Linked DNA regions of Caenorhabditis elegans. The protein of the gene in region 2 purifies or fractionates together with the protein of the main gene of each other region. This does not show direct contact. Each region holds a gene or a part of one and is shown on either strand. Other genes may lie near its edges. The genes, in order: usp-3 and C30G7.3.

The links.
Region 1: the proteins of C30G7.3 (region 2) and usp-3 fractionate together in Caenorhabditis elegans (co-fractionation; one large-scale study listed by BioGRID). This does not show direct contact.

What each region holds. Positions count from the first base shown.
Region 1 is NC_003279.8:13,948,573-13,953,413, forward strand, and holds the start of usp-3 (Ubiquitin carboxyl-terminal hydrolase), read right to left. Parts: upstream 3,059-4,841; 5' UTR 3,057-3,058; coding exon 2,926-3,056; intron 2,847-2,925; coding exon 2,532-2,846; intron 1,218-2,531; coding exon 921-1,217; intron 1-920. Other genes in the region: rps-6 (Small ribosomal subunit protein eS6), read left to right, coding at 3,606-3,743, 3,916-4,276, 4,332-4,573.
Region 2 is NC_003283.11:14,941,510-14,947,395, forward strand, and holds C30G7.3 (MADF domain-containing protein), read right to left. Parts: upstream 4,196-5,886; 5' UTR 4,097-4,195; coding exon 4,076-4,096; intron 4,012-4,075; coding exon 3,945-4,011; intron 2,673-3,944; coding exon 2,575-2,672; intron 2,420-2,574; coding exon 2,300-2,419; intron 2,039-2,299; coding exon 1,887-2,038; intron 1,513-1,886; coding exon 1,194-1,512; intron 1,148-1,193; coding exon 1,064-1,147; intron 711-1,063; coding exon 666-710; 3' UTR 621-665; downstream 1-620. Other genes in the region: C30G7.4 (Matrix-remodeling-associated protein 7), read right to left, coding at 5,275-5,613.

The DNA.
Region 1 (4,841 bases), on a different chromosome or scaffold from region 2:
GCGATTTTTAGGTTGAAATTGTGTATAAAAATTGAATTTTTCAACAAAAATTGAAATTAAAATAGGATTTTTGTAACAAAACCTGCAGAAACGACATTTTTTAGGTGAAAAAGTTAAATTTTCCATGAAAATCGGTATTTGGATTAAAAATCGGCATTTTTCTGTGAAATCACACATTTTATATCATTTTTAGGGCAAAAATTCAAATTTTTAGTTGAAATTTACGCAATTTTCGCTATAAAAATACAATTTTCAGAAAAAATTGCCAAAAAAAAATGGATTTTTGAACCTCAAAAGGTGAATTTTACGCATTTTTAGCGTTAAAAACGTAAAATTTACGATTTTTATTGAAAAAATGAGGCATTTTCCATGAAAAATAGCCTTTCACTGCTAGAAAACTGCATTTTTCACGTGAAAATCACAATTTCGGCTAATTTTCGATGATTTTCCCGATTTTTTGGGTCAAAAATCGCGTTTTTCACCAATTTTTCACACTTTCCAGGTGAAAAACGTACGCTAATGCTTAAAAAAGAAAAATTTTTGACGTTAAAACAGGAAATTTTACGCATTTTTCGGGTTTTTTTTTTAAATTTTAAGACCGGAAAACGCACAATTCACGAGTTTTCCGTGGTTTTCTGCAGAATTTTGCAATTTTCAACTAAAAAACGCAAAATATAAACTAATTTTTGCGTTTTCCTAACAATTTTCACGGAAAAATCACAATTTCTGCTCATTTTCGATGAAATTCTCAATTTTTAGGGTCAAAAATCGCGTTTTTCACCAATTTTTCACTCTCAAGGGGCGGAAAACACCCGATTTTCGCGCATGAATTTCGCATTTTCAGGGTCAAAAATGGCCGATTTTCATGTATTTCGGCTCAAAAAAGCCAATTTTTCACACTTTCGAGGTGAAAAACGTACGCTAATGCTTGTAAAACGGCATTCATAAAGCACGTATTTCCAACATTTCGCATTCCACGTGGCCTATAGGCAATTTCAGATGATGACGTGGCACCGCCGGACCCCGATGACGTAGAATTTGTGGATGATAGTGTGACGTCATGAATTACGGCGGCTCCCTGCTGCTGCTGGAATGGTGGTGTATCGACGAACATTGGACTGACTTTTCCCTTTTTTCCACGTTTTTTCTTCGAATTTCGAGAAGCTGGAGCCACGTGGAGCTTTTGGGTGAATGTTGAGGCGACTGAGGTCACTGTTCTGAAAGAAAATTGAGGATTTTTGAGTGGAAAATCGGAATTTTTTGGCTTTTTAGGTGGAAAAATGGATATTTGATGTTTTTTGGGCTGAAAAATCGGAATTTTTGAATATTTTTAGGTGGAAAAGTGTGATTTTGCTCTAGAAAACGGAAGTTTTTATATGGAAAATTGGATTTTTTAATGTTTTTGTGCTGCTGAAAAATGGGAATTTTGGGGCTTTTTGGTTGAAAAACTGATTTTCTGAATTAAATTTGAAGATTTAACGCTGAAAAATCAACGTTTGGGAGCTTTTAAGTGGGAAATTGAGTTATTGTTACGTTTTTCTATTGAAAAACCGCGCATTTTTGAACATTTATAGTGGAAAAAATTGATTTTTCTACTGAAAATAGGAATTTTTGTGGATTTTTAGTGGGAAAAATGGATATTTGATGTTTTTTGGGCTGAAAAATCGGAATTTTTGAATATTTTTAGAAAAATGTGATTTTGCTCTAGAAAATGGAGGTTTTTCATTGAAAAATTAGTAAAAATATGAGGTTTTTGACGGAAAAATCGGATTTTTCGTGGGCTAAATGAATTTTTTGATGTTTTTTGTGCTGAAAAATCGGAAGTTTTGGGCTTTTTCATTGTGAAAACTGATTTTCTAAAATAAATTTAAAGTGTTAACGTTGAAAAATTCGGAATTTTTGGGCTGTTTAGGTGCAAAAACGGATTTTGAAGTTTTTTGTGCTGAAAGATCGGATTTTTTTGGCTTTTTAGGAGGAAAAATGGATTTTTGATGTTTTTTCCCCTGAAAAATCACAATTTAGGGGCTTTTTAGTGGGAAAAATGAATTTTATCGCAGAAATTGATGAGTTTCTGCCGAAAAATCGGAATTTTTCGGATTCTTAGGGCGAAATACGATTTTTTGATGTTTTTTCACCTGAAAATCGGAATTTTAGTGATTCTCGTGAGGAAAATAGGGTTCTGTTCAAGTTTTTGCGGAAAAAATGATTTCCCAATGGAAAATTAAAGTTTCTTCGATGAAAATTAGGATTTTCATTTTTTTTTTTAAGAAAAATAAATTTTTATGAGAAAACGAACGTTTTTGACTGAAAAATCAAAATTTTCAGAAATTCCAGAGAGAAAAATGGAATTTCTGAGGAAAATTGGCGTTTTTTTCACTGAAAATCGCAATTTATCGGACTTTTCATGGGAAATACGATTTTTACGAGAACTGTAACGTTTTTCAGTGGAAAATTCGATTTCTAGCAGGGTTTATCGATAAAATATCGGTTTTTAACCAATTTTTAGTCCATTTTCCTCGAAAAATACGCACTGAAAAGGCTGTGCCGGTATAGTCGGCCCGTCGCCTCCCTCCATAACGTCTTCCCGGTCGAAAAGGAGCTTCAGCGATTTTAGAACTCCATATAAAGATGGCTCAAAGTCCAGTGACACTTCATCATCACAGGAATAGCAGTAAAGCTCGAAAGAAATGCAATCAATGACGACTGGGTGGCTGGTTTCTTCAAAATGATGCAAAGCGTGGCCCGAGTCGTTTCTTCCGCACAGAATTCGTCCGCAAGTGAGGCACATCAGCGATTTATTGCAATTATCGCATTCGTCGCAGAAGGTTTTAATTATTTCCTGGTTTCTGGAAGAAAAACGAGTTTTTAAAGCTATTTTTAGCTTTTTTTAGCCATTTTCTAGCCAAATTTCTCAAAAAAACTCACTTCACCACCTTCCCACGATTCGAATTTCCCTCCAAGAACAAATTATTGTCCTCCATGTCCTGTTTCTTGCGGAACATCCCCTTGGGCACACGCTCCACACAATCTTCCGCCTTTATATGGGTGCAAAGCATCTGAAAAAATTCGAAAATCAGTCAATTTGAGTGTGAGAGCAAAGTTTTGGCACTTAAAACGCGGATAAAAAATCGATAATCAAGAAAAACAGCAAATTTTCGGCGGAAATCGAAGAAAAACCGAAAATCGAGTCGGAAAATCGGAAAAGTTTGGAAAAAAATAAAATCCATCGGACGAGATAGTGTGGGAAAGGTGGGGTGCAGCAGACGACGAGGCGGATGGGGGATGGGTCTCGCCACGAAGGGCGTGCGCCTTTAAACTGGAATTGTCGTTGGCCTAAAAAGTTTTCGCTCCTTTTTTCATTTTTCCCTCGAATTTTTGGGTGAATTTCTCATTTTTAGGCGAACTTTTCGGTTTTTTTTTCGAATTTTCAAAATTTTAAATGTTTTCCTGATAGTTTTCCTCCACATTTCGCAGGATATTTGCTTGGAAAATCAAATTTATTAGTTTTAGGCCCATGTTTTCGTTTTTCGCTTCAGTTTCTCCTTTTCTCACCCCGTTAACTCATTTCCAATGTTTTTCTTCTTGCAGGTAATAATATTTGAGCGATGAGACTTAACTTCGCCTACCCAGCCACCGGGCTCCAAAAGTCGTTCGAGGTCGATGAGGAGAAGAAGCTTCGCCTCTTCTTCGAGAAGCGCATGTCCCAGGAGGTCGCCATCGATGCTCTCGGTGACGAGTGGAAGGTTAGCGAGTCACCCAAAAACACAGAAACGAAGTGATGTTTCTGTGTCAAATCCTCATTGTTTCACGTGCTTTTTCTTCGCTGAAATGGCTGTGACTAGACATACATTGAGAGTCCCAGTTTTTGTTTTTGAACCGATTCTCGGCTCTTTCAAACGAGTTGCTTTTTTCCAGGGATATGTCGTCAGAATCGGAGGAGGAAACGACAAGCAGGGATTCCCAATGAAGCAAGGAATTCTCACCAACGGACGTGTTCGTCTTCTCTTGAAGAAGGGACAATCCTGCTACCGTGAGCGCAAGAACGGAGAGCGCAAGAGAAAGTCCGTCCGTGGATGCATCGTCGACGCCAACATGTCCGCTCTTTCCCTCGTCATCGTGAAGAAGGGAGATGGAGAGATCGAAGGACTCACCGACTCCGTTCTCCCACGCAAGCTCGGACCAAAGAGAGCCTCCAAGATCCGCAAGCTCTTCAACTTGACCAAGCACGACGATGTCACCAAATACGTCATCACCCACGACAAGACCTTCCCAGATGGTGAGTTTCTTCAATATTCTCTTTAAATTTAGTTTTTAACTGTCTAAATTTCCAGGAGTCACCAAGACCATCGCACCAAAGATCCAGCGTCTCATCACCCCAGCTCGTATCGCCAGAAAGAAGTACCTTCTCCGCCAGAAGCGCAACCAGAAGATCAAGATGCGCGATGACGCCGCTGCCTACCACAAGCTCCTCGCCAAGTACTCCAAGGAAGAGCACGACGCCAAGATCGCCCGCAGACGCTCTTCGGCTTCCCATCACTCCGAGTCCGAGGTCAAGAAGACCAGCAAGAAGTAAATACTGCTGCTCGTTATTGTTTCCTAATGAAATTGTTGTTAAACTTAAATCTTTTTTTTTTGTTGTTCACTCCATTCGTCTCACCAATTATATTTGCACCCATTTGTCGTTGTTAATTTTTTTGAATGCTTACTCCGAGTCCTGGCACGCCACTCAGGGTACTTGGTCGATCCGTTCTTCGCCTGCGGGGCGGATAGCAGGCTTCGCAGCTTTCAAAGCTTTTCGGTTCTTTGCTTGGCTGATAGTTGTATGACTCAACCGAAGGCGT
Region 2 (5,886 bases):
TGGACTTCCACAAATCCTTCTAGAAACTGCTGAAATTCTCCTAACTTTTCATTATGCTTATATTTCTCTTTTTTTTTATTTTGGTATCTGGTTTCAATTTTAAAAACATGGTTTTTTTAAAAATAAATATTATTAATAAGTTCTCTGCAACAAAACAATATAATAGCAAACAACCCTTTTCAGATAAAACGTATTGCTATTTTTCCTGAAAGTTCAGTTTGAAAAAGCGTTTAATTTGTTTGACTCTCTGTTGAATTTCCTATTTTATATATGCTTATTTTTTCTCGAATAAATAAGTATGGCGTCAAAAAATTCGTTTAAATCAAAAACCAATTTTTATCATCATGTCGACGAAATAGCTTGGCTTGGGGACACACAAGGTCTAACAAATAAGAATGAAGCTCATAACAGCGCAAAAAACAAGCCGTTTTGCTTCACTTTGCCGGCTTATGTCACAGGGCTTAGGCTTAGGATTTTTTTTGGTTTAGCCTTAGGCTCATTTTTAGGCTTAGTCTTAGGCACTTAGGCATTATTTCCAGTTATTCGCTTTCCTGAAAATTGTTAAAAATCTACTTGAAAATCCGGGTTGTTAGGTGACTACAAAAAAGGTTTAAAAAATTGGAAATCCAATCAATAAATTCTTTATTCGCAAAAATCGAGGAAAATCAATTGCCGTGGATAATGAAGTGTGCAACTTTTGTGACTGTTCCCTGGAATAATAAAATATTTTTACACGGTTATGGTGTTTGCAAGGCACCAAAATTGCGCAAACAAGTTTTCTATTGCATGGGGAGCACGCTCAAAAAATTTCAGAGCTCTGTGTCTACTAAGAGCAAAGTTAGGGTAACTGCAAGTTTTGACATGCGTCGTGTGTCGCTAGGACTTTCAAACCACCTTAACTTTGCTCAAAATGTGGCTACAGCTCTGAAATTTTCTGTGGTTCATTTTTTTCATCTAATTTGATGTTCTGAATTAAAACGCTAAAGTTTCAAAAATTTCATGAGTTTCGTGTCGCGTCGCGGTCCAGCCATGAAATTTCACACAGAAACTTAAAAGTACGTACTCCTGGATTCGAAGCTTTGACACGACGCTGTCTCATCTGACAATTGAAATCCTTGACGTCATCATCGATTTCTTGAAGCTTCTTCTGCAAAAAAATCAATATTTATTTTCCATATTAGGCAATCACTCACCAAATGAGCGGCGCTCTGTGGATACACGGCTTCCGTCACAAATTGCAAACGTTCCATGTTTTCACAGGCCATCGATAGATGTGCGGCAACTCGTTCTGCACACTTTTCCGCTTCAATTGTGCCGTAAAACGCCGGATTTTGAGCAAGGATGACGTCATCGAGTTCCACGTCATCATCATCTTCAACTGGAACATTCACGTTCAGGTCGTCAATATCATCGTCTTTTGGAACTCGGTTAGCAGAGAAACTATCGATTTTCACCTCATCATTTCGACAATTTGATATGCGAATTTTTTGGTAGGATTTCGGTTGGAGGTGGCTGAAACTAGGAAAATTAGGGCTTCAAATTTAATGATCAAGAATTGCGTCATGGCACGAAAAATACGCCAAGGAGCAATGATGACGTCATCATATTAACAATTACATTGGGAGCGTTCACAAAAAATTTTGAAAGTCTTCGAACAGTGCGAGCAAAGTTACAGTGGTTCAAAACTTTAGTCTGCGTCGCGGTTTTTCTCAATACTTCAAATCTACGTAACTGTTCAAAATCTACGTAACTGTTCAAAATTGTTCAAAATGCTCGTAGAGCTGTGTATTGATTTCTCTGTATTGATTTCTGATGTATGTATGTATACTACTGTTAACGCCTTAACGCAAAACTCGTGCCTTGGCGCGTTTCTAGTGCAAACTCACCACACATCCTGAATGACTTGAGTCGCCGCTTCATTGATAGTCACATGTCTTTTGGTGGTTTTTGTGACTTTTTGCTTTGTCTCGGGCAGTTTTTTCAGTTTCAGGCGGTGTTGGTAGGCGTCGAAGGCGTCGGATGCCGTGCGGTTGTTGTACTGAAAATTTTTTGAATTGAATGTACGTAATAATACACAGCTAGCCACACAAAAAATTTCAAATCAATCCACTGGGAGCAAAGTTACAACTAGTCAAAGCAAACAACCTGCGACGCGGTCGATTAATCTTATAAGAAACTTCAAGGCCTGGTAACACTGCTCAAAATAGTCTTATCGAACTGAAATTTCAGGTATGTCTTTCTGATAGGATGTCCAACAAGCCAACAAAATGATAGAGCCTTGGCGCAATTCTCGACCCACCTTTCTCTTATCAAATGGCTGATAAATCCACGTGGCAAGTGCCTTTGGTTGCTCCGCCGCTGCACGATCCCAGTTCGTGACATATACATTCCTTTTCTTCGGTTTTTCCACAATTTTTTGCTGAAAATAAAAATATATATTGATTTATTGATTTTTAGTCCAAAAAATCAAAAAATCAATACATTTCCGGTCGGAATCTGACGATAGATAGTTGTTAAAAATGGCATTTTGTACAGCGATCAAATTTTGAAATGATTTTTTTCCAATATTCTCACCTTGAGGGGACATTTGACACGTGGCGACACTACGGTGATTTGTTCACGTGAAAATTCCAAAATTGACAGTGATGAGGTGGTGGAGCCGGTGGTGCCGTCTGCATAAAATCGATAATCAAAAAAAAGAACGTGAAAAAATATCGCTTTTTACTTAAAATCAAAAATATTTTCGAAGTATTGATTTTTAGGAATTACAGGGTGGGCCAAAAGTATGGTAACACGTTTGCAGCTCTATAACTTTACTAGTGGAGAGAGTTATTACATCAATTTGTACAAGTTTTGTTCTCCATAAAATACTGACCAGATGAACGTTTTGAATTTTCAAAATATATCCATCCGCATTGCTGCAGGCCTTCAGAACTTTTGAGATCACGATCTTTATGGCACGCAAGTCGGCATTCTGCGGGATTTCTACATTTTTCTTGAGGAATCCATAAAGTGTCTTACAAGTTTTTATAGTTCAAAGAATGCCCTTGGTCTAGAGATTCTTTAAAAACAAAAATCAAAATATTTTCTATCACGGTATTTCTGTCATGGACTGCGGCAGTAGGTTAAGTCTTGAATGGCATAGTCGCCAGAAAGATGGATGTGAGCGGCGAGTAGCAGTATTCAGATAAATTTATTTTAGTATTTTTCGAGACGTTTTGACCTGACTTTCCAGAATTTTTTTAGAAAATTGAGCTCGGATGATTTTGTGGGTCGTTACGCCTTGCGAAACCAAAAAAACTGAGTAAATTTCGCAAAGTTGAATTCATGAAATATACAAAGGTTCTTGCTAGGCGCCAGTGTCGACACAGAACATTTTTATATGCTACAAAAACAATTAAAAACGCTTCTTCACTTCTTTAACTTTCAATTTAACATAAAAATCATACATCTGAAAATTATTGGCGTGCGTGGGAGGTGTGTTTGTGTGGGAAGTGCCGCGTGCCAAATTACCGTTTTTTCGAAAGGGTTCGCCAAATTGTCGAGGTGATAAAGATCGCACCTTATTGGGAAACATTACAAATTTTGAGTCAAATTGAAGGAAATTTATTCAGCTATCAGTATTCGATAGAAGAATGTACGTATGACGTGGCAGTCGCGCGAAAAGCTCATGTAAAAGAGCGCTTCATGTGTTACCATACTTTTGGCCCACCCTGTATGCTATTTTTACCAACAAAAAAATCAATAATTCGAAAATTTTAATTTTAACTCTTTTCTGGAACAAAAATCGATAATTACACGTAGGTGAAAATTTTTGTGTAAAATATAGATTTTACGGAAAAATCGATATTTTCTAAATTTTCAAAATATTTATTTTTGAGAAATTATCGATTTTTGAACAGAAACAACAAAAACTATCAGTTTTTCCCGACTCTCAAACTCACAGCAGACGTAATACGGATTACGACGAGTGCCGGCGGTACAGACGTTGTCCCAGATGTGAGAATTTTTCTGAAAAATATACGGTATCGTGAATTGCGCAAGCAAATGCTGGCGCATTTCTCGTGCACCTCACCTTTGATTGTCTGCAGTTCATTGGAGTAATGTGAATAAGCGGCGAGTAATAAATGTGGTATTGACGAGTATAAAAGTGAGAAATAATTGAAATTTATCGATTTTATCAATCTCACGGATTATCGATTATTGTTGAGAATAACAAAATTCGAAAAGGCCACGTGAAGATTTAATTTCAAAAACAGTTTTATTTAAAAAAATATATCGATAATTATTACATTTTCTTTCTTTTTTTCAAATTGAGATCATGACAATACAAAAATCAATAAATTAATGAGAAAAAATCTATAAGACTCCCGAGTAGAAACCATTTTCCACGACATTAGATTTCAGAGTTACATACTTTCCATCTTCCTGTAAAAATCGATAAATTTTGAATGATCGGTAATCTGCCATTTTCAATTTTTGACAAATCGATAATGTGAAGTTTTAATTTTTTTTTTTTGAAAAGTCGATAATATGAAATTTTAATTTTTGAAAAATTGATAATTTTTTATTAATTTCCGGAAAATCCATCATTTGAAATTTTTCATTTACGAAAAACATTATTTTTTATTCACAAAAGCCAAGAAATCAATTGTCGTGGATAATAAAGTGTGCAACTTTTGTGGCAGTTCCCTAGGTTAATGAAATATTTTAACGCGACTTTGGTGTTTGCACGAGAATAGAGCCAAGACACCAAATTTGAGTCAGATATCATGATAACCAATATGGCTTAATGCTACGAAAATAACTTAAATTATCTTCTAAAAATCTCGGAATTAAGCATTGTTGGTGCAAGACTAATAGAAATAATACGGTATATGTTTTTTAATCTACAGTTGGTCAAATATTTCATTGCGAGGTCAATCTGGGTTGTGATGGTTTAACGTCGAATTGTAACTTTTTTGCTGCCATCCCATCAAATTGAACAAAAAACTTACAGCTTTTTATAATATAGAAACAATTTTGGATGCTATCATGTCATAAATATTATAGTTCTATATTTATCAGTCGGCTTCTATGTAAGAAGCATTTAGAATTTCTTCGTCATTGTGAACAATAGATGATTATTGTCAGCTTTTAATTATTATTTTTGCAATTGGACAAATTTCAAACACATTTTCAGTACATCTACAAAAATTGACAACGGTGAAGTAAACTACGATGTCGCATTGGTTTATTAAATTTCAAAATGATGACTAGAAATGCGAACAGTCATCAAATTACATGGATTTTCACAATATTTGGATTCTCTTCATCAACTTGAACTTCAGCTTCTGACAATGAAATTTCTGATAAAGTATTATTCACCGATTGAACATCTGAGGGTATTGTTATTTCCTCATTTGATACTGGAGAGCATGCAGGTGCGGCTGGTGTCGTTTTTGATGGGTCGGATGTTGAACCATCCTTCAAATCTTTTGCCTTTTGTCTTGAATTCGTTAATATTTTTTTGATAGCTATTGAAATGTGCCCATCCTTGTTGAGGTATAGGAAAATGAGAAAAAGAGCAATTAACATGAAGCCGAAACCAATGATGAAATCAAAAACTGCCATGTTTGAAGTTCTGGAATTCTTTGAAGTAGAAATCATTTGTATCCTATATGTTTTTGAATTGGAAAAAACTTACAGCTTCTGAAAATATAGAATCAATTTTAAATGTCATTTTTGTCATAAATATAATAGCTTTTGTACTTTTCAGACGGCTGCTTCTAGGTGTTAAGAATTCCGAAGTTTTTTTTGTTATCGCAAACAATTGATGATGATTTATTTTGGAAATGTGACTAATAATATTTAATTGTGAAACTTTTTCGTTATTATTTTCCCGAT